Linked DNA regions of Notamacropus eugenii. The protein of the gene in region 1 purifies or fractionates together with the protein of each later gene. This does not show direct contact. Links are inferred from orthologs where the notes say so. Each region holds a gene or a part of one and is shown in the gene's direction. Other genes may lie near its edges.

What was found. The genes of interacting proteins can lie anywhere in the genome.
Region 2: the proteins of MIA2 (region 1) and PREB purify together in Homo sapiens (affinity purification with western blotting; 3 studies listed by BioGRID and IntAct, with this or other methods). This does not show direct contact. The link is inferred for Notamacropus eugenii from reciprocal best matches to the Homo sapiens genes MIA2 and PREB.
Region 3: the proteins of MIA2 (region 1) and MIA3 purify together in Homo sapiens (affinity purification with western blotting; 6 studies listed by BioGRID and IntAct, counting the BioPlex papers as one, with this or other methods). This does not show direct contact. The link is inferred for Notamacropus eugenii from reciprocal best matches to the Homo sapiens genes MIA2 and MIA3.

The regions. Positions count from the first base shown.
Region 1 is NC_092872.1:331,985,120-331,992,167, forward strand, and holds the start of MIA2 (melanoma inhibitory activity protein 2), read left to right. Parts: upstream 1-3,999; 5' UTR 4,000-4,183; coding exon 4,184-4,298; intron 4,299-7,048. UniProt on the Homo sapiens protein: Plays a role in the transport of cargos that are too large to fit into COPII-coated vesicles and require specific mechanisms to be incorporated into membrane-bound carriers and exported from the endoplasmic reticulum.
Region 2 is NC_092872.1:528,417,144-528,424,404, reverse strand, and holds the start of PREB (guanine nucleotide-exchange factor SEC12), read left to right. Parts: upstream 1-4,184; 5' UTR 4,185-5,680; coding exon 5,681-5,815; intron 5,816-6,499; coding exon 6,500-6,692; intron 6,693-6,914; coding exon 6,915-7,141; intron 7,142-7,261. Other genes in the region: PRR30 (proline-rich protein 30), read left to right, coding at 23-139, 362-416, 574-631, 802-2,281.
Region 3 is NC_092873.1:414,066,248-414,073,470, reverse strand, and holds the start of MIA3 (transport and Golgi organization protein 1 homolog), read left to right. Parts: upstream 1-4,146; 5' UTR 4,147-4,169; coding exon 4,170-4,575; intron 4,576-7,223.

The DNA.
Region 1 (7,048 bases):
CATAGTTCCCATATCAATTAGTAGGGAGAAAGAGGAGGGAGGTAAGGAAACGAATATGAACCTGTGATTAATGTTGACAGTGCTGGATGGCAAGATTGCTGAGGTATATGGCTGGAAACATGGTCTGGGACCAGGAGGTCTACTGATTTACCAACTAGGACAGCTAAACTCCAGTGAAAGAACCTCAAAACTGAGAGATTAAGTACCTAAGGTCATACAGAACAATACAAAAAGTTAAGTGCTACTTAGCACAGTGCCTAGCACATAGTAAGTGCTGATTTGTCCTTTCTTCCTTGATGTTCTCTTTTTTTCTAGGTTTCCAGGACACTGCTCTCTCCTGGTTTTTCTCCTTCCTATTTGACCTCTTCTCAGTCTCCTTTGTTGGATCCTCTTCCAGACCACACACCATCCAGAACACAACCCTGTTCCTTAGGGCCTGCCCTGTGCCCTCTTCTTTTCTCTCCCTACACTACTTCACTTGGTGATCTCACCAATGATCATAGATTTAATTACCATCTCTGTGCTAATTATTCTCAGATCTACCTTTCCTGCCCCAACACCTCTGCTGACCTTCAATCTCACATCTCAATTTCTTTCAGACATCTCAAACTGGATGTTCAGTAGACATATTAAACTAACTATGCCCCAAACAGAACTAATTCTCTTTACCCCTAAATACTCCACTTGTTACCCTGTAGAGGGTAACAGCATCTTCCCAGTCCCTTGGGCTCCCAACCTATCCTCAACCCCCATATCTAAGATTCTGCCAAGGCCTACCTATTTCACCTCTGTAACATCTCTCCTATATGCCCCCTTCTCTCCTCTGAAACTTCCACCATTCTAGTGCAAGCCCTCATTACCTCATGCTTAGACTATTTTTACCTTTTTGATATTTGTTAATATTCCTTTATTACACTTAAAAATCATATGGCTAGTCCTGGTACTGTCCTCCTTAAGTTCTGGTTTGTATATTTATTTTAGATATTTATTGCATATCTCTCCCATTCCCCTGTCTTCCCCCAAGGAACAATAAAAATAAGAAGTGATGAAGAGGCAGACTTCAGAAATAAAACCCTCATATAAATATGCATGGTCCAGCAAAACAAATTCCCACACTGGTCATGTTTAAAAAGTGTGTATTTCATTCCACATTTTATGTCCATTACTTCTCTGGTAGGAGTGTGCTTCATCTGTAATTCTCTGGCATGTTGGTTTATCATTGCAATGATCAGAATTCTAAAGTCATTTAATGTTGTTTTTTTTATAATGTCATTATTATGTAAACTGTCCTAGTTCTGTTCACTTTACATCTGTTCATAGTGGTCTTCTGTTTTCCTCTAAAACTGTACATTTTGTCACTTGGAATAATACAATAACATTCCATTAAATTCACATACCATAATTTATTTATCCATTCCGTAATGGTAGACCTCAATGTCCAGTTTAGGGAAGCTATAAAAAGAGCCAAAATAAATATTTTTTTGTTAATAAATATTTCATGTTAGATATTGGGACAAAATGAGACACTCACAATCACTGAATAGCTAACCAAAGAAGGTTTACTTTGCTCTAACAACAAGGATATGTAACCAGGATGCAGTAACACTTTGCAATAATGCCCAGGTTCTAGGTTTATTAGCTTTTGCATACTTGCATTTTAGGGGTATTTGGTCATACTAGCCAAACTGGTTTCACTTGTCAACAATTTGTAAAGTGCTTTGCAAATCTTAAAGTGTTGCATAAATATTAACCATTATTATTATTATCAATATTATCTAAAATTCCAAGTGGAAAATAAGTTATTCCAGACTAGTTCCTACTTAGAACCTGTTGGTTTCACTGTGAAACACGATTTAGCCTTTCTTTTCCCACAGGGATATCTTTAAGTAGTCCACACTGCTATTCCATGGAAAACTGGAGTTTTCCCCAGAGACACATGAGTTTTAAACCACACACTAGGCCTGAAATGACTTGAATAATCTTTCTCTATCATTTAGACACTTAAAGTGATTAATAACCAAAACCATAGGATTGTCTTTCAATCAACCAGGTCAAGATTAAATCCTGGGAATCTGGAGAGGGTTTTAATCCCTTGACTTATTTTCTTTTCCTGTATATGCCACACTAGACACTGGCTTCCTCCATTTCCCTCTCCTTCCCTCTCCTTCCCCCTGTTATGTGTCACAAAATGGCTATGATTGATAATAGTTTTATGTAAAGGACAAGATGTCTTCAAAGATTCTAATTAAATCAGGAGTTATATTTACACTTAAAGAACCATCAACCAATAAACATTTATTTAGCATCTACTGTGTGCCAGGTAGTGGGTTAAGCACTTCACAAATATTACCTCACCAAATATTCACCAAATATTACCTGGGAAGTAGGTGCTATCATTATCCTCATTTCACAGTCAAGAAAATCAAATTATGTGACTTGCTCAGGGTCACACAGCTAAGAAGTGTCTGAGACTATTTGAACTCAGGTCTGTTCTCACTCTAGGCCCAGCTCTCTATCCACTCTACTGCTTAGTTTCCTGGTATGTAATAGTAAAAATAATGAAAAGGCTAGCATTTATATAGAGTTCTAAGGTTTGCAAAGTGCCTTAATGATACCATTTGTTTGATCTTTCCAGAACTGTGAGGTAGGTGCTATTTTTATCCCCTTTTACAGATGGAGAAACTGGGGCTCAGAGAGGTTTAATGACTTGCCCAGTGTCGTTCAGCTAGTATCCGAGGCTGAATTTGAGATCAAGTCTTCCTAACTCCAAGTCCAGGGATCCAAATCCACTCTGTAAGTTAGCTACCAACAGTTGTTTCCTCAGGAGCTGCTACTAATGTCAAACCCACAGTGCAAAGAGTCTAATTTCCCTCTTTCATTTCCATGCCACTCTTCTTTCTGTTGCAAATCAGTCAAAAAGCCCCTGAAATGGCAGCCCTGCTAGCCCCAGCTCAGAGCCTGTAATGGTCTTTCCCAAGTTTGGAAAATAGAATTTTTTCTTTCCAGGACTACAGTTCTGAGAATTCACAATCAAGCTGTTTACCTTTTCATTGTGGGGAGAAACGCAGGTTGCCTGTTTAAGACATAGGTCCTTTTTTGTTTACTGCATATCCTGAAAAGCTTCTGACTTAACCTACAGGCTCCTTGCTTAGCAAGGGTGGAAGGACTTGTAGATGGTGTTTGGGGTTATTTATTTCTCTTTGTCAGGAATTGGTCCTTTGATGGCACTGGAGATTGTATATGTAATAAGATAACTTTGGCATGAAAACTTTTTAACCCCAAACAAAACTTATCTAACTTTTGTAATTCTGTATTTGTCATTTTTGTGGTGGTGTTTTGTTCTGCTTTAGACACTAGAGGGAACTGTGACTTTATGAGATTCTTCTCTCAGACACTAATGGAGATATCCCACAAACTGATTTCGTATGTTAGAACCTAAGCAAATGTATTGAAATCTTGCAAGAAAAGAGATCCTTTTAAAACATTTCCCAGATATTGAAACATGACACTTTACTTCTATTTAGTCCCACAGATTGAATGTTTTTCAAACTTTTTACTTGCCATGTTTTAGCTACTATTGTATGAAATTAAAGTCTGAGTGGTTTTTTTGTTTAGATTAAGTAGGAATAAATATACCTTCCAATATAATTTAAAAATTACTTCTTATAATTATATTTTTAACAGCTTTCCCCATGATAGTCAGAAAAATGGATCATTTTCTTTAGACAAGTTATTACTGACTCTATACATCCAGCCTACAACTGAAAGCAGCATTATACACATGTAAGTAATCAATTAATATTCATTGATTGACTTTTCTGAAGACTAACAGGAAGAGGTTGTGTTGCTATGCATTCCAAGAAATCCATGCTGAAAGCAGTGTAACTTTAAATGAGGTAGATTTATATGGGCTGCCTTTATAAAAATATTAGTCAAAGTAAACAAATCTGTTAATAATTAAATACTAGTGTGTTATATAAATAGCTGTCAATGCAGATTGAGAAAGAGAGCATTTATCCAGTAAGCTCAACTGGCAAACAGAAAGGAAATATATCTGCCAAAGGCTTTTAAAACCTTTTTGTTATAGCAAGTGAAAAAAATGCCTCTCTTGTTTAGGAGGCAGTATTCTCGTGTGAATGGTACATTTTGACTGTTTTTTGAATTCCTACTTTCTGTTTTTGTCATGGGACAGTTTGGAGTCTACAGAATTTTTCTTCTAGTAATTTCCTTGATAAAGAGCTCGGAGAGTACAAAACTGCTGGCAGAGTTTAAAAACTGCGGAGATGTGGAATGTGAAAGTAAGTATATGGAAAATAGCAACGTAAGTACATCGCATAAATATTAAAATGGAAATATTTGGTATAAATATTGGTATACCATTGGGAAAAAAATGAAGTTGTAAAGATTAGCTTTGTAGATTGCCTGTGAAAAATATTAGAAAAGAAGTGTTCTGTGGCATTACCTCACAGAAATGGTCAAAGGGTCAAAGTTTGGTATAAATTCAGATGACACAGAGGTCTTACCAGTTATCACAATCAAATTTGTTAGCATTTTAAAATGTACTTGTTTATTTACCATTTTATTTTCCCACTTATTCATTTTGTTTACTGGAGTACATAAAGACATTCTTGCTGATTTATATAACAAAAATTTTATTTTAATTTTTCAACTATGTTCTGAGTATCATTATTTCTCCAACAATTTAAAAAATATATTTAAGCCACCATGACTTATACTGGTGTGTGTGTGTGTGTGTGTGTGTGTGTGTGTGTGTGTGTGTATGTACAAATTTTAGCATCCCAGACCCTCAGGGATTCATGATTAATTTTTCATGTATTCCTTATGCAAACCTTTAGCCAATATCAAAGACTTCTCTCATGATTTTGTTTATGTATATGAGCAATGCAAGTTAGATTTTCTTTTTAAATCTACTACACAAAATATTTTGGTTATTGCATCTACTTTTAAGCTGACAGTATCATGCCCTACAATTTGCAAAATACTCTATTTACATTTATTGTTCCATGCTCACAGCTCTTTGAGGTGTAATAGTTGTTACTTTCCCCATTTTACAGACCTGGGACCTAATATTCTGAGTGATGAAATAAACTGCCCATGATCAACATAATCTGAAGTGTTCTCTTGAACCCAGGTCTCCTAATATTATGTGGTATAATTGTAGCCTAATAGATTAGAATGGCTTCAAATAAGTAATTATCGTCTGTCTTTTATGTAACCTTTATTTCTAAACTTTTGAAAAAGTACTTTTCTGAATCCTTTTTCTGAAAAGTAAACTAAAGTGAGGAACAAGATTTATCAGTCAACTGCTCATTTGTAATTAATTTCCTGTCTCAAATCTCTATTTTTCTCACATTTTCATATCTATAGAGTCATAGTTCAGACCAGTGATAGATATCAAATTCAAATATAAACAGGACCACTAAATTATATGTAAGAATCCTCTGGCTGCATATCGACCACATGTTAATTCTATTGAATTTTTCCCACTTATTCATTCTATCAAATTTTTCTTTATTTTCTTAAGTATTTCCCAATTCCATTTTAATCTAGTTTGGGCCAAATTTGGGAGTAGCCCACGGGCCTTGTGTTTGAAACCTCTGATTTTGATCAACAATAAAGAAGACATTCCAATTTGTGTAACTTTATGTGATATTTAAATTTAATTAGTGGTCTTATTAAATCAGTTTTTCACTGAGGAACATCACTACTCTAAGTATGAAATTATTTTAATGATTACAATATATACACATACCATACATTATGTTTGTATTAAAGGAATTAATCTTAGGCATTTGGTAAATTACTCATTCAACAGATTTTATTTTAAGTTCTCTTGTGAGCTGAGGGGAATAGGAAAGAAATGTAAAACACATTTCTTGCCTTCAACTTACTTATATAGATTAGAGAGCAAGACCTAACACCTATTAAATAATTGATACTACAATATGAGTAATGAAACATTAAGATCATAAATATAGAGAACAATTGATTTGTAGTAGAGTAGCTGAGCAAGGACTTAGCTGAACCCCAAAGGACTTTTAGTAGGATTTGTCAGAATTATTGGAAACCCCTTGAAATTTATCTAGTCAAACTCCTTCATTTTAAGAGTGAGGAAATTTCCCACAAAAGGAGAAATTTGCTCAACTTCATACAGCTAGATTTTCTAAATGGGTTCTTCTGACTCTAAATCTTTCCATATCATGATGGATGTTCAGATTTTGAGCCAGAAGGGACCATACAGATCAGTCCAATCCTCTCATTTTATAGATATGGAACTTGAGATGCAAATGGGATTAAGTGACTTGCTGAAGGCCAAAAATTTAGTAGAGATTGTATTTTAACTCCAGCTGTTTAAATCCAAATCCAGAACTTTTTCCATTATACAAACACTACTTAATTTTATTATTCTGAATTTACCAAACACCAAAAAGAACCCCAACACCTTACACATAGAAAGTAAAATGCAAAAATTAATTATAACTGAAATTATGTAACAAATTTTATACAGAATATTTTTTAAAAAGTTATATGATAAATTCAGCATGTTTCTTTCAAAGCTGTTTTGTCTATTTCCCTCTAAACTTTTTTATATTTCTGTCTGAGCATTTTTTAAGATGGTTCAATGACCTCTTTTGTTTCTTCTCTTTCTTTTTTTGCAACTCCTGTCTCCTTTCCCTACAAATAAAAATTGGAAAAACATAATCTTTGTAAAAACTAAGCACCATCAAGCAAAATAAATCATTAAAATCACCATATCCACATCCTTATCCTATACCTTGGGTCTACCAACCAATCTTCTATCAGGAGATGAAAAACAGTTTTTATCATCTAACTTTTGAAGTCTTGGCACAGGCAGGGAGAATATCGCAGTTACACGAACTAGTAATGCACATGGTGTGTTCAGAGGACATTAAAAAGATTATTGGATAGACATGAGAGGAAAAAGTTGGATATGCAGTAGGGAACCATTGGAGATTTTTAAATAGGGGAATTGTTTGATGAAATTGGTATTTTGAAAATGAATTTG
Region 2 (7,261 bases), about 200 Mb from region 1:
GCAGGGGGGCTGACAGCTCCTTATGGGGGCGGCGTTGCCGCCCCTTGGAGAAAGTCTCTCTTTCTTAGATGTCTCATTCCTGCTGGGCCCCCTGCTGCTGCTGCTTGTCCTGCTTGGGCTACTGAGCCATTTTAGCTGGGTGAGGGCGGTCAGTCAGGAAAGTTAGGAACAGGAAAGCAGTTGGGGTTTGGAGAGATGACAACTGGGGATAAGGAAAATAAAGAACTGGCAGAAGGTAGAGGGCATGAACTCGGGGCGGGGGGGGGATCTTGAATGTAGATTAAACTAAGCTTTGATCTAGGGAATCATGGGCTGAGGATAGGTGGTCTACAGCTATTAACCAAGTTCTCCTCTGGCTTAGAATCCCTCACGACTGAAGAATATTGTGAATCGGACCTCAAGGAGTCCCCATCCAGGTAAGGACCGTCAGTACTAGGTCATTCTTCATTCCTTCTTTTTGGCTCTATCATACCCCAGCTCTCCAGTTGCTCCCAGATTTTCTACTCAAGCACCTTATCAGTTCATATATACCCTAACACAAAATTTCTGAACTAAGTCTGTCTGTCCTTACAGCTCCTGTAATTCCAAAGGTAGCTAGCAGGCCCAAACTCGTGGATTTGGGGACGTCTTGGTGAGCAGTGGCTAATACTCAGTTGTAGGGCTGTAGGAGGGAGGGAAATAAAACTCTAGGAAAACATGAATGAAACTGATAGTGTCAGGAGAACAACACTTGTCCTATGAAGAGGAAAAAGAAAAGTGGATATGGACATGCAGATTTGAAGACCTGTGTTTTTTTGGCAGGTCCCAACGGATGAATTGTCCTTATTGGCGGCAGTACTCTATTCAGAAAATCCCTGCTACCCCTCATACCCTAAGTGACAGCTCTGAATCTCAAGGCCCTGTACACCCTTATCAAAGACCAAAGTTAAAGAGAGAGACAGAACACCAACTTAAGCTTGGCCTCCTGGGGGGGGCGCAGCTCATGCCCCCCCAAGAACCCCGGAGCTACACGTTGGGAGCAGTCCCCCTATCTCTAGCCTGGCACCTGCTTCCATCACCAGCTCCCATTTTGCTCCAAGTCCAACCCTCCCTCCCTGCAGCACTACAGAGCCCTGAGAGCCCAGCACTACAGAGCTCTGAGACCCTACCCCTACCGAGCCCTGTGACTCCAACGCTACTTAGCCCTGAGGCCTATAATCGCCTGGAGCAAAACATTGCAGGCCATCAGCACCGGCAAGTCTACAGTCAGCCACACCAGTCTTATTCCACTGTGATCCCATCACCCTTGGTTTCTTTACATCCACCACCTCCTGAAACAAAGGAGATGGTGCCCAGGCACAACAACCAACTGGTACTACAGATCTCTCTGTCCCCAAGGTCTCAGCCTGGTATTGAGCTCCTCTTGGGCCCCACCTCCTGGCCCAGATCAGCTGCCCAACCTCAACTTTACCATAAAACCTATCCCCATACATATTGCCAGGTTCCCCTCAAACGCTGCCTACCCCAAGCACTGCCCCCTCCCTATATTCCTTCACAGCCCCCTGACTGTACTCCTTCATTAAAAGGAAGTCTATCCTCCTCTTCTGGTGGCCTCCAGGACTGCCAAAGGAGAAGGGAAAGGCTTAGGCAGGTTCATAATAGTGCGACAGCCCCCAGAATTGGGGGGGGATGCATACCATGCGGGACTGGGCTTGGGGAGCAGGGGGGCCCTGCAGCTCTGGCCCAGGACCTGGTGGCACTTCTTGGTCGCCGTCGCATTGCCAGGGATCTGCGGTTACTGCTGCTGCAGCGCCTATGGCAGGGTCATGCTGGACCCGCTCCAGCCGTGGAGTATCCTATATGTTTGGTGTGCCGCAAACCAAGAGGGTCTTCCTGTCCAGCCCCCAGCCGCTGGCCTGGACCCCAACTCCTTGCCTTCCCACAACTGCTGCCCTCCAGGCAAGGGCTGGCACTGGGGTCTGGGCCACTCCACATCGGCATCGGCTTCGGCCTGCGCCTGCAACGGGATCAGGCCCAAGCCTTGGAACTATTACCCAAGAGAGGGATCGAGGAGCTGGAGTATCTGGTCGAGGTCCAATGCCCCAAGGAAGAAAGCTTCCCAGCCCCAGAGCCTCGATTCCCACCTTGCATTCCCTGCCCAGAGTCTCTACATCTGCAGGTCCCAGACCCTGGTCCTGCTTTCCCAAAGGCCAGCCCTTTCCCTCCTGCCCATGCCCCCATATGCCCAGAGGCACACACCCACACTTCATCTCCAAGCAAGAACCTGGGCGAATCTGCCTAGGAACAGCCCGGGCCCCATTCCCTTTATTTCGGCCCAGGCCCCAAAGTACTGGGAGCCCAAGGGACACCCTGAAGGGATGGCTGGGTGGGGTCCATGTCTACTCTCCATCCAGGAATCCTGGGAGTCCTTTATGGAGTCTACTGTCCCCGGGCTAAAAATGGCCAAAGGGTGCTATAGAGTTTCCCTACAACCACCAGCACTTGGCCCTCATTCTGTAGTCCACAATAAAGAGAATGCTACAGAACAATGTGTGTATGTATGAATGTATCATTATGAGCAGTGTTGGTATAAGTACTCCCAATCCCTTCCCCCCCACGCACCTCGTGAAGTGGAATGCCCAGTCTCTCCCAATTCCCAGCACCTTATTTTCTCCAGTCAAAAGTCCCAGATACAGATGTGGAGCTGAAGCAAAGAAATACATAGTCCTCTTTCAATGACACTTATGAGAATTAGGTAAGGTAGTACGATATAGTGGAAGGAGTGTAGAGCTTGGTGTCCGAAGGCCTAAGCTCATATCTCCTACGTTCATCAGCTCTGTGACTCTGGGCAATTCAATAAACCTCTTGGCCTTGAATACCCCTATCTACCTCTTATGGTTATTATGAGGAAAGTCTCTGTAAACATCAAAAAGCTCTCTATAAATGTGAGTTCTTCCCAGTAGAAGTAATTCTATCCTCAAGTTCATGGTCCTTTCCAAAGGACACCGTATTATATATGATAAGAATATGATATAATAGAAAATAATTAGACTTGCAAGTCAGTTCTAACTGATTCTCATACAGTGGTACAGAAATTCTGGTTGCATCGGGTTCAAATCCTTCCTGCCTGTATGACCTTGAGCAATTCACTTAACTTCTCTCTGGTGCTTGGTTTCATCATCTGTAAAATGAAAAGACTGGATTAGATGACCAATGTCATAGGTCCTATGAGGTCCCTTCTAATTTTAAATCTCTGATCCTCCAACCTCATCTGTGCTGTTTACTAGCTGTGTCATCCTGAGCAAGACCCCTCAACCTGTCTGAGCACCAATGTCCTCATCTACACAATGGGGATAACAGAATCATAGATTCTCAGAATTGGAAGGGACTTAAAAGGCCAGCTAATGCAATTTGCACCCAAATCCCCTCTCTAGTATCCTTGACAAGTAACCATCAAGCCCCTGCTTGAAGAGTTCTAGTGAGAGAGAACCCAGTATCAAGGCACTTTTAGATAGTTTTAATTGTTAGGATAATTCTAAGTGTTAGAGGGTGGTAAAGAAAGTAGTGTTAGGGGGCCTGGAGTTAGGTGTGACGGTTTGCTTCAGTTTCCTCATCTGTAAAATGAAGCTGGAAAAGGAAATAGCAAAGTACTCCAGTATCTTTGCCACGAAAACCCCCAATAAGGAGTCATGAAGGGTTGAACATGACTGAAAACAGTTAATGACTGTTAGGAAGTTTTTTCAGATATCCAACCTAAATTTGCCTCTTGGTACCTTAACAAATCTAATCACTTCCCAATAACAACCCTTCAAATACTTAAAAATATCAGGTCCACATTGCCTTAAGCATCCTTAAGTCCTTCAATTTCTCCTCGTGTGGCAGGATTTGAGGTCTACTTGGTAACCTTTCTTTGGACACTCAATAGCTGATTAATATTTTTCCTAAAATGTGACTTTTGGAATTGAACGCCAACTAAATTTGACTTGTGCTTTAACCATGGCAGAATATTGTAGAATTTATTATCCCCCCATTTAATAAAACTTGTACTACTTATTTCCCAGAGTTGTGGTGAAGAAATAACTTTGTAAACCTCAAAAACATTATACATATATGTGTTCGTGTGTAGCTGTAACAGGGTCCCAAATGACTATCCCAAAATCTACCTGGCTTTGAGTTAAAAGAATAATAATGCTATAGCAATTCTCTCCTCTTCTACATTAAACTTTACTCCCCACTCTTTTCGGGCCAATCAGGATTTATCGCACGACCTCATAGAGTACACAGAGTAAAAAAGTCGCTCCACCAGCGGCAGCAGCAAGTGAATATCAAGTAACAAAACGGTATAAAATGCAACAAAATAACAAGTTATGGAAACATTGGCAACATGGTTTCTCACTCTCCAGATTTCTGGAGCTCCTGAAGGAGCTCTGCCTGAGCCACCACACAGTAGGTGCTTAAAGGCTGCTGTTAAAGGACCGATTGACATCAGAGGTCATCTTGACTTTGGGGTGAATTGGACTGAAGGGAAGCAGAGCTGCACCGAGTCCTGAAGTCCATGTGCAGGACAGAAGCCAAGGCTACCCCGGATGGACCGGATGAGGGGGCGGTGTCTAGGGCGTCTAACCAGGCTCCAAGCACCTGCTTCCTTCAGCAGCCTTCACGCCCGCTGGAACAAGCTTCTCACCTGCCTATTCCCCCAGGGAACGTCCTCCTGTGCTTGGGGGTCCACGCCCCCCCAATACCCCGACAGGTTTGTGGCTGGTTGGCTCCCCTCCTCCTAGTTTAGCCCCCCCCGTCGGGACGGTTTGGGGCTGGGGGGAAGGAGGTCCGAAGCTTCGGATGCTACCGCTTCTTAGGGCCACTGGTTAGCGAGTTTTACTGAATGAATGAACGAACTATATGGAGAGATGGATGTAAATGAGGGCCTCCCCTCTGGGTCCTCCTCCGAGCTTCTGGAAACGAGAATGACTGCACTGGAATGCCGGGTCCCCACTCGCGGCGTGACTCTACGTACGAAAAACACGTAACCTCAGTTTCCTTATCTGTAAAACGGGGGATGAGATTAAAAGACCTGTGCCGGAGGCTTGTGGGGGGAACAACAGAGACTAAGGCGTGCAAGTGCTCGGCAAACTTTAGGGATAAGTAAACGTTAGCTAAAGAGAGAGGGAAATGTCAGTATATGAAGAAAAAGTCACAATTGTTCGGCCTTCGGGGAGGGAAGGTTGAGCCATTCCATCTCAGGGAAGCACCCTACTGAGTTTTCTCGCGAGAATTCACGCCCCCAATCCCGTGCACTGAAGCTGTACCGGAACCGTACACGTCATTACTCTTCCAGGAGTGGTTGTAAAGGAGACTTCCGGTGCCTTGCACAGAAATGGCCGGACCTCGCAGGCGTACAGAGGAACCTCAGACCTCGGTGCCCTTGCTCACGTGACCTACGTCTCGGCGAAAGGTGGCCAGATTGTGCTGACGTGTACTGTCACCCTGCGCCTGCGCATGAGAGGCCATGAGATGGGCGCGCTTGCGCAGTGAGGGCGTTTGTAGCCTGGGTTCACTGGGCGGTGGGAAGAGGAAGCTGCTCTTGGGCTGGGGTCGGAGCCGAGCGTGGAGCGGAGTCCTCGGGGAGACATCCAGGGTGGGCTGAGCGAGCGAGCGAGCGAGCACCGGGCATGAGCCCGCTGTGAGCCGTGCAGGCTGGACGATGGGACGGCGCCGGGCGCCGGAGCTGTACCGGGCGCCATTCCCTCTGTACGCGCTGCGGGTCGAACCCAGCACCGGCCTCCTCATCACCGCGGGCGGGGGCGGCGCGGCCAAGACTGGCATCAAGAATGGAGTGGTGAGCCGCCGGGCCCGACCAGAAGGGGACCCCGGGGTCGATCCGCCTCACTCCCCAATCCGGGACCACCTCTCTCTCCTTCCTGTCACCGGCTACCCGGGGCCCCTCTCCTCCCTCTCACTTTCCGGTGACGTTTGCGCCCCCCTATGTTTTAGAGGCCCCTGGTGCCCCCCCACCAGTGTCTAGTATAACGTGCCACCAGAGACCCCAAAACTGATAGACTCCTCACCCTGCATTGCTGAGCTCTGTCGTTTCTCCCCTCCCTCTCATTGTCTGTTTCCTGCCCTGTGGCATTGATGTACCCCTGCCCGGACAGGGAGCTTAGCTGGGTTCAAAGCAGAATGTCTGCAGTGCCTGCTGTGGTTTTTCACTGCCATCGGTCTGTGCAAGCAAAACTAAAACTTCACCACTTCCTTCACTCCAGTAAGGGAAATGCACACGGCCAAGTTAAAGTTTCCCTTCTGAGGTTTTAAGAGATCAGAGCTTCTGGGGACTTGCAGGTTTTACCCCTGTAATCAACTGAAGCAGATAGCCTTCCTTGGAGAGGTTTGCCAGGAATTGGAATTTCCAGGGACTTTCCTTGAAAATGAATCCTGATGAGTCCTAGGAGACTTAAAACTCCTTGAGCCCTGAGGCTGTCCTGGGCACGGGCTTAGCAGACCTCACTTTGTTCTATTTCCACAGCACTTTTTGCAACTGGAACAGATTGGTGGAGCTTTGAGTGCCTCTTTGCTGCATTCCCATGACACCGAGACTAAGGCCACCATGAACCTTGCCCTTGCAGGCAATATTCTTGCTGCAGGGCAGGATGCTAGCTGTCAGCTCCTTCAATTCAGACCTCAAGAGCAGGAGACCAGTGACAAACAAGATGATGCAGGTGAGAAGCCTTATCTCAAACTGCTCCCAAGAAAGGAACTAGTGAATCCCCCTTTTGACTTTTCTCTTACCTTACCTACTTACACCCTGGACCTGATGAGGAGAAACATCTCATCTCTACAAACCTACATCACTGTCCTCCTCCTATGACATATGGTAGAATTTGCAGAGACCAGCCAAATGGAACTATTGAGAAATCTAGAACCACAATTTGTGATTGCAGGTTCCCAGGAGCAGGGCCCAAGGCAAAGGAAGGGGACAGGAGCTACCACTGAAACACAAGAAACTGGGGCATCAACTCAGCGAGAGGAGGTGGAGCTGAATGTGGAGAACTTGCAGTCTGTGCAGACAGACTTTGGCTCTGACCCACTGCAGAAGACTGTGTGTTTCAATCATGATAATACCTTGCTTGCCACTGGGGGCACTGATGGCTTTGTTCGTGTTTGGCAGGTGCGGGTTTCTGGGGATAGGCAGGTGTGGGATTGGGGTGAGGCCTAAGTTGTTAGAGAATTTGGAATGGGTCTTGGGTGAATTTGATGATTAAATCCTGAGATAGTTTGTGAGAGTCAA
Region 3 (7,223 bases), on another chromosome or scaffold:
AGTTGCTGTATTCTTTTTTGCTAAAATCTTATTTAAACTTTTTGCATCAATATTCATTAGAGAAATTGGTCTATAATTTTCTTTCTCTGTTTTGTCTCTTCCTGGTTTAGGTATCAAAACCATATTTGTATCATAAAAAGAATTTGGGAGGACTCCTTCCCCAATTTTCAAAAATAGTCTATATAATATTGGAATTAACTGTTCTTTAAATGTTTGATAGAATTCACTTGTAAATCCATGTGGCCCTGGAGATTTTTTCCTAGGGAGTTCATTGACGGCTTGTTCAATTTCTTTTTCTGAGATGCGGTTGTTTAAGTATTCAACTTCCTCTTCTGTTAATCTGGGCAATTTATATTTTTTAAAATACTCATCCTTCTCATTTAGATTGTCTCCCTATTTATCTTTTAATTAAAATTATTTCCTCAATCATGAAATAGCATTCAAGATGAATTTTTTAAAAGGATCTTATTCAGTGTCATTATTTTTTGTTTTGTTTCGTTAGCAGCACTACAACATCATAACCTTATGGTTAAGACAAAACTCTTTCCTTATCCCTCACCTGTACCTAAATCCTTCCTTTTCTACTTCCATAATATCTTTCTAGACTTTGTTTTTAACTCCTTCAATAACCACTCTAGTTCAAGTCCTCTACTTTTGTCCTCTACATTATCGTAACAGGCTCTTAACTGGCATTCTTGCCCCTCTTCCCATCTTTTTCTCTATCTAACCTCTACAGCAATATTCATGGGATGATCCTAATGCATTGCTGTGATCATGGTATGTTTATACAAAAAGATCTTGTTAGGACTTTATTTCTTAGACTTCCTATTGCCTAAAAAATAAAGTATAGTCTGACTCTAGCAAAGCATCATAGAGTGAAACAGATAAATAAAACTAACTTGTAGAATGAGTAAATATATAGATGCTTACAAGCTACTTATATCATAAGAAAAGTTGATTTCTTTAAGGTTTTCTTTTAATTGTAGTTAGTTTTAACTAGTTAAAGTTTAAATAATTTAACTATCTAAATCATAAATCAAGATAGATCAATAGACTAGCACTTCTGTTTGATAATTATTTATTGACTGATCTAGAGCTGGAAAGGTGCATCACAATCTGGCTTCAACCCATCTATGCAGCCTTATTTCACACTACTACCTATAAGTAGTTTTCATGCAGTCTTCATGAAGAATACTGGACTGCTCTTTATTCTCCACTATCATTCTGTCCCTTATATCTCCATGCCTTGAAGATGTTGTCCCCCATGGCTGGAATGGATTCCCTGTCAAGCTTTCTTCATTTGTTGAAGTACTGCCCTTTCTTCAAGGTCCAATTCAGATGCTACCTTCTCCATAAGGCCTCTGACACCTCAGGTGAAAGGGATCTCTTCTGTCTCAAAATTCTCATAACACTTGGACTGGACCTTTCCTTTTGTACTTTGGGATCACAGCTCACAGATCTAGAAAGGATCTCAGATGTTATTTTTAGTTCAATCCCTTCATTTTAGATATGAGAAAACTGAAGCTGAGTGAGACTTTAGGTATTTGCCTTAGGGCACATAAGTAGTATAAGAGGTGAGATTTAAACCCTGTCCCTCTCACTCCAGGATTAATGCTCTTTCCACTATAGATACTTCCTCATTTCAGTCTTCCTTGTATTGTAATTATTTGGTTTTGGTCCTTTCCCTTATTAGATTTGTAAACTTCCTCAGACTAGGGCCTGTGGCCCATCTCTCTGTATCTTCAGTGTCTGCTACAGTGTTTTGCACATAAATGAATATTTAGACTGAATTATTTTCTACTATTTTCATTGTATGTGTACAGAGTTTCACTAATCCCCTCAAAAAAGCTACAATATGAGCTAAATAGACTTTTCTAGGCTATTCTAAGCACCATTTGTTTATAGGGAAAAATTAATTACAAGTTCTAATGAAATGACTTACATAATTTAGGGGTACAGATTATAAACTAGAGACTTCCTCTATCTAAAAGTTAAAGTTGCATTTCTGAAGATTTGCCAGACTTCCACCCTAAGTCAACAGTACACGTGTTCTTGGAACTACAGTGTCATAGGTTCTTGTTGAATATGTAAATACACAGTCGGTAACAAGCTATTTATTTGTATAAGCATAAAAAAAGAACATTACAGTACTGATTTCTTTAAGTTTCTTTTAGTTTTGTTTCAAAATGACCAATTCTGATGGCACATTTTACTAATATTATCCCCCCTCAAGATTCAGCATCATTAGAGCTAGTTATGGAAAACGTATCTAAGGGTGTAGGATTCACAGCTGGGAAGGGGCCTTAGAGATGACAAGGTCATCATAAAGTCACTTAACTCAATTCCCTCATTTTACAGATGAGGAAACTGAGATCGACTCAAAGTTTAAGTGACCTGCTCAAAGTTAAGACAATGCAAACCCAGGTTCTAGGTCTAAATGCAGACACATCACAGATGCCTCCTTTCTAGCATACATACATATCACATGTTATATGTGTATATATGTATATGTACATATAGACAGTATAATATATGTGTATAAATATGTATGTGTACATACACATACATGTATTTATATACACATACACACACCTTCCAAGTATAATGGAACTCTTCCTCTAGGGTCACTATCCATATGAGTATTATAATTTACTGCATAATCATGGTACCTTCTTTTTTTTCAGTTCAAAAATTGGTTTATAACCTTTCATCACTTAATGGTGAAATGGTGTAATGTTAATGAGATTTATGTTAAAGATCTTCCCCACTCATTAATAGGCCTCACCTGTAGCCTATTAAGGGAAGCTTGATTAGAGGAGGCTTGTTTTGTAGGAATGCCCACACTTTTTGTTAATTAATGAGGCACTGGATCACAAGGGCTGTGCCCTCTGCTCTGAAAAGTGTATATATACTCTGAGGTGAGGTTTTGCTTTGGGGGCTTAGAAGAAGGTTCATGTGCCAGATGAGACTCTGGGTAGCCCTGCCCCCACTCTTTTGAAAAAACAGATGTTGGTGCTTCTCTCTCTAGTAACTATGTATGCATGGTTAGACAGATCTGTCTGTTGATCTCTGATGTATGTATTGCTTATGGTCAGACAGTTAGAAGCCCCCGTCTGTTGGTCTTTATTTCTCTGCTTGTATTTTCTGTATTGGTGAATGTCATTAGATTGTTGACCCCTTGAAAGCTGCTTTCTTTTAGAAAAGCAGATCTAAGAACCTGCACAGCAGGCCCTCCTGTGTATGCTGGGGTGCTTGCTGCTACACATTGTATAATTCTGTTCTTCATTTACTTAAAAGGTAAACAGTAACAATATATCCACCAGTGGCATATAGATAGACATTTATCTCTCCTGCTGTGTGAGCCCTAGAATTCTCAGCACTCCTGTCAGTATTCAATTTTAATATAAATTCATGAGTATTCCATGCATCCTAATCTTGCACCAAAGACAGTGTAGTAATAAATGATTTTTTAAGAAATATCAGCACAAAAAAAAAAAAAACTTCATGTAATGGTTGTGCCCCACATTTTTGCAAAAAAAAAAAAAAATTGGCATAAAACCTGCAACCATTATGCAGTGAAATACGGTACTGTACATATACTATATTAACTCCACTACAAAATTACAGTAGATTAAGGCAAATTTAAATCAGAGATATCCATCTAATTTAGAGGTATTTGTGAGATTACTCAAAATTCTCTCATGACTCTAGACTTCTCTTGCTTTTAAAACTCCCCTTTTAGCAGGGAGGGTGCTCCATCCCCGGTCCCTTCTCGTTAGCCTGGCCCATCCCAGACCGTCCCAAACCCCTCTTCCCTTTGGTTATCCCATGTGACAAGACAGGATGCCCTGGGGGTGGGGGATTCAAAGTGAAAAGCGAGGAATTGCGGAGTTGTTTCCACGTCAAGAATAACAGCGGTCAGGACAAGGGGATGGCAGGAGGGAGGCCAAGATGGGTAATGGACCCGCGGAGGAGAGCAGGGGCGATCTGTGGCCGAGGGGTGCGGGATGCCGGCGGGCCCAGGGCCGCGGAGCAGAGGCGATCTGTGGCCGAGGGGTGCGGGATGCCGGCGGCAGCACGAACGGATAGGACGAGGGAGAGGTGACGGAACAAAGGCCGGGTGACGGGGTCTCCCCGGCATGTCCCCGCCCCTCTCGTAGGCCGCAGAGATGCAGCCCTCTCTCCGGTTCCTCCTCTCCTCTTCCCCCAGCCCTCCCTTCCCATCCTTCTCCATCCCCGGTGCGGCTGACGTGTCTGCCTGGCACTGCTCATGCTCTCCCTCCGCCCCAAACGCGGGTCCCAGCCTCGCCGCTCGCCCCCGCCTTCTCTTCTCTCCTCCCCGCCGCCCCGCCGCCTCGCCATCGCCGTCCCCCGCGCCCGGGGCCTCCCTCCGCCCCCCTCACCTCTCCAGTCCCAGTCCCAGTCCCAGACCCGCCAACATGGCTGCAGCGCCGCGCCTGCCCTTCTGTCTCCTGCTTCTCCTCTTTTCCTCCGGGCCGCGGCTGGGTCAGGCGAACCGAAGCGAGGACCGGCGTTTCGCGGAGCTGAAACGCTGCTCGGACGAGGAGTGCAGCAGTGAGTGGGCGCCGGGGCCCGCCGGGATGGGGGGAGGAGGAGAATTGGGCGGACACGCGGGGCTGCGGGGCTGGGGGGAGGACGAGCTGCCTGCTCCGGGGTCTGTGCCCGCGGGCTCTGGACAGCGGAGGCCAAGCTGGCGCTTGTAGGGGGCAGAAGAAAGTGCGCCCTTCCCCTCCCCCGGTCTTTCTGTTCTTGGGTCTGGGCGTCTCCGCAGCTCCGCCTCAGCCTGCCACCGCGGCACCCCAGCTCTCCGGCTTCTGCCACTTGTTGCAAGTTTTTGGCCCCCGAATCGAGAGAGGGGAGAGCAGAGATGGCCCCTCACCTTCGCTCCAACTGCTGGCATGGCCTCGGATCACCCCCTTCCAGCCTCCCCTCCCTTCGCCAAAGATGAAGAAACCTAACATCCAAGTCCTCTTTGGGTTTTGTCGGTGTTCAAAGCTCAGTGTTTATTCTTTAGCCGGGGAGAAAGTGCCTTCAGCCCTTCCACGGTTACAAAATCTCTCCTTTGCTCCATTTGTGGAACCAGATGGGTTGCTAGGTTTAAGGCAGTCTCGTGGGCTGCTTTTTCCGCCCTCTCCGAGTCTTACTGGAATTGTTTGCTAGTTGTATTTTGAAAAGTGTTTTGGGTTTCCGAAAGGGCTAATCCCAAATTACCTACACGTGCCAACACGTTACATTGTTGTTACCATCGGACATCCTTGAGCTCTGAATCTTGTCCTTGTGTGAAAAATCTTGTCTATCCAACAAGACGCAGGCAAGGTCCTATCTTTCACTCTGGAGACCAACTCTTGGCATAGCCCATTTAATAGGCAAGGAAGCTGAAGCAGTTAGTTAAAACTGGGTTTCTGATTTATTTAAGTCGTTTTGCCAGTTCTGAGGGAGGAGGTAGTCATGAGTAATTTTGAATAGTTAAAAAACAAAGAATCCATCAGTATTACAACCTGAAGTAACTTTACTTTCATCTACTTTTTTGTGAAAACTCCAAAATATTCCAGTATTTCTTGCCATTTGTGTTGTTGTTAGTTGTCTTTTGTCTGACAACTCTTGTAACAAATGGATTTGTAACTGGCTGACATAAGTGCCAGAAGACAAGTGATTTGGCCCTTATAATATGCAAGGATGAATAAGAAAATATTCTGAAAAGGCTAAGAAATCCATCATCCACTCTTCATATACAGGTACCTTTAAAAAAAAAAAAGTCCCATAACTTGAAATACAAGAATCATTGTATCTCCGGAAGAGGAATAAGCAGAATCAACATACAATTAGTTGTATGTTGACATTGTCAACAAATTGCTAAAAGTTAACCTAGGGACCACTTGCAATACATGAAAACTTCCAGCCTTTTCTGTTCTTTCAAGTGACTTTTTTGGAACAGATCTTAAAACAAGTTATTATATATACATGTCTCATTCCAAAGTATAGTTAGAAATTAATTTATGCAGAACTTTAGTCTATGCTTAGTAAAGGAATAGAGTGTTTACCACTGCTCTTCTTCTCCTTTTCCCTTAACCACTGTGTAAACATTTCTTGGCTCTTTTATATACTAGGGAAAAAAGTGTGTGCATTTTTAATTTTAGGCTTGGGATTTTTTTTTCTTTTTGTTCAGACCTCTGTAGAATAGGAAATATTCTGCAATTTATGGTCTTAAGGTTGCTTGGGACTCTAAGACCTTAAGGGCCTAGGGTCCTACAACCACTACCCCTAGAGATGGGATTTGAATCCAGGTCTTCTGATTCAGAATATTTTTCTCGCACTATATTATGCTGCAAATATAAGCATGTTTTTAACTGTATGTGCAATCTTGTGTATGCATACTAATGTGTATATGTGTACAGTTATATATAAATATACAACATATATACATGCACAAAACATACCTATACTTGTAGCATTGTATATGTATGTGCATTTATACATGTGCACATGCATAGCACATATTCATATGTACATATATGTGGGGGGTAACTAATAAAATATCAACTCAGATCTGAGTTCCTGCCTGATTTAAATCAGTGTTAGAGCAACAAGTCCTGTGTCTAATAATCTCTGTGACCTTAGGCAAGTCACAACCTTTCTGGGTCTCAGATTACATGTGCAAAATGAGAAGGGCTATCCTGAAAGGGTCCCTTCCAGCACCAAATCTATAGAATGCTCTGATCTTGTGTCTAAATTTTTCCTTAGTGTCTGCCAACAATGATTTTTTTTCATAATGCTGTTTTGGTGTCAGCTTCTCTATCTGCTTTATGTTCTTTGTGATCCCAATTGGGGTTTTCTTGGCAAAGATACTGGAGTGGTTTGCCATTTGCTTTTCCAGCTAATTTTACAGATGAGGAAACTGAGGAAAAACAGGGTTAAGTGACTTGCCCAGAGTCACACAGCTAGTAAGTACCTGAGGCCAGATTTGAGCTCAGGTCTTCTTGATTCTAGGCCTGGTACTCTATCCACTGTGCCACCTAGCTACTCCCTATCTGCTTTATGGGAGAAAGGAATTTTCTTTCCTTGTAAATTTTGATTAAATTAACTTAGTGTTTGATATATTTAAAACTGCTTATTTCGTGTAAAACTTTTGGTTTTAGGCGTTCTTTTTCTTATCTTATGATCAAAGCCATAGATTTTGGCAAAGACTTAGCACCTCAAAGGCA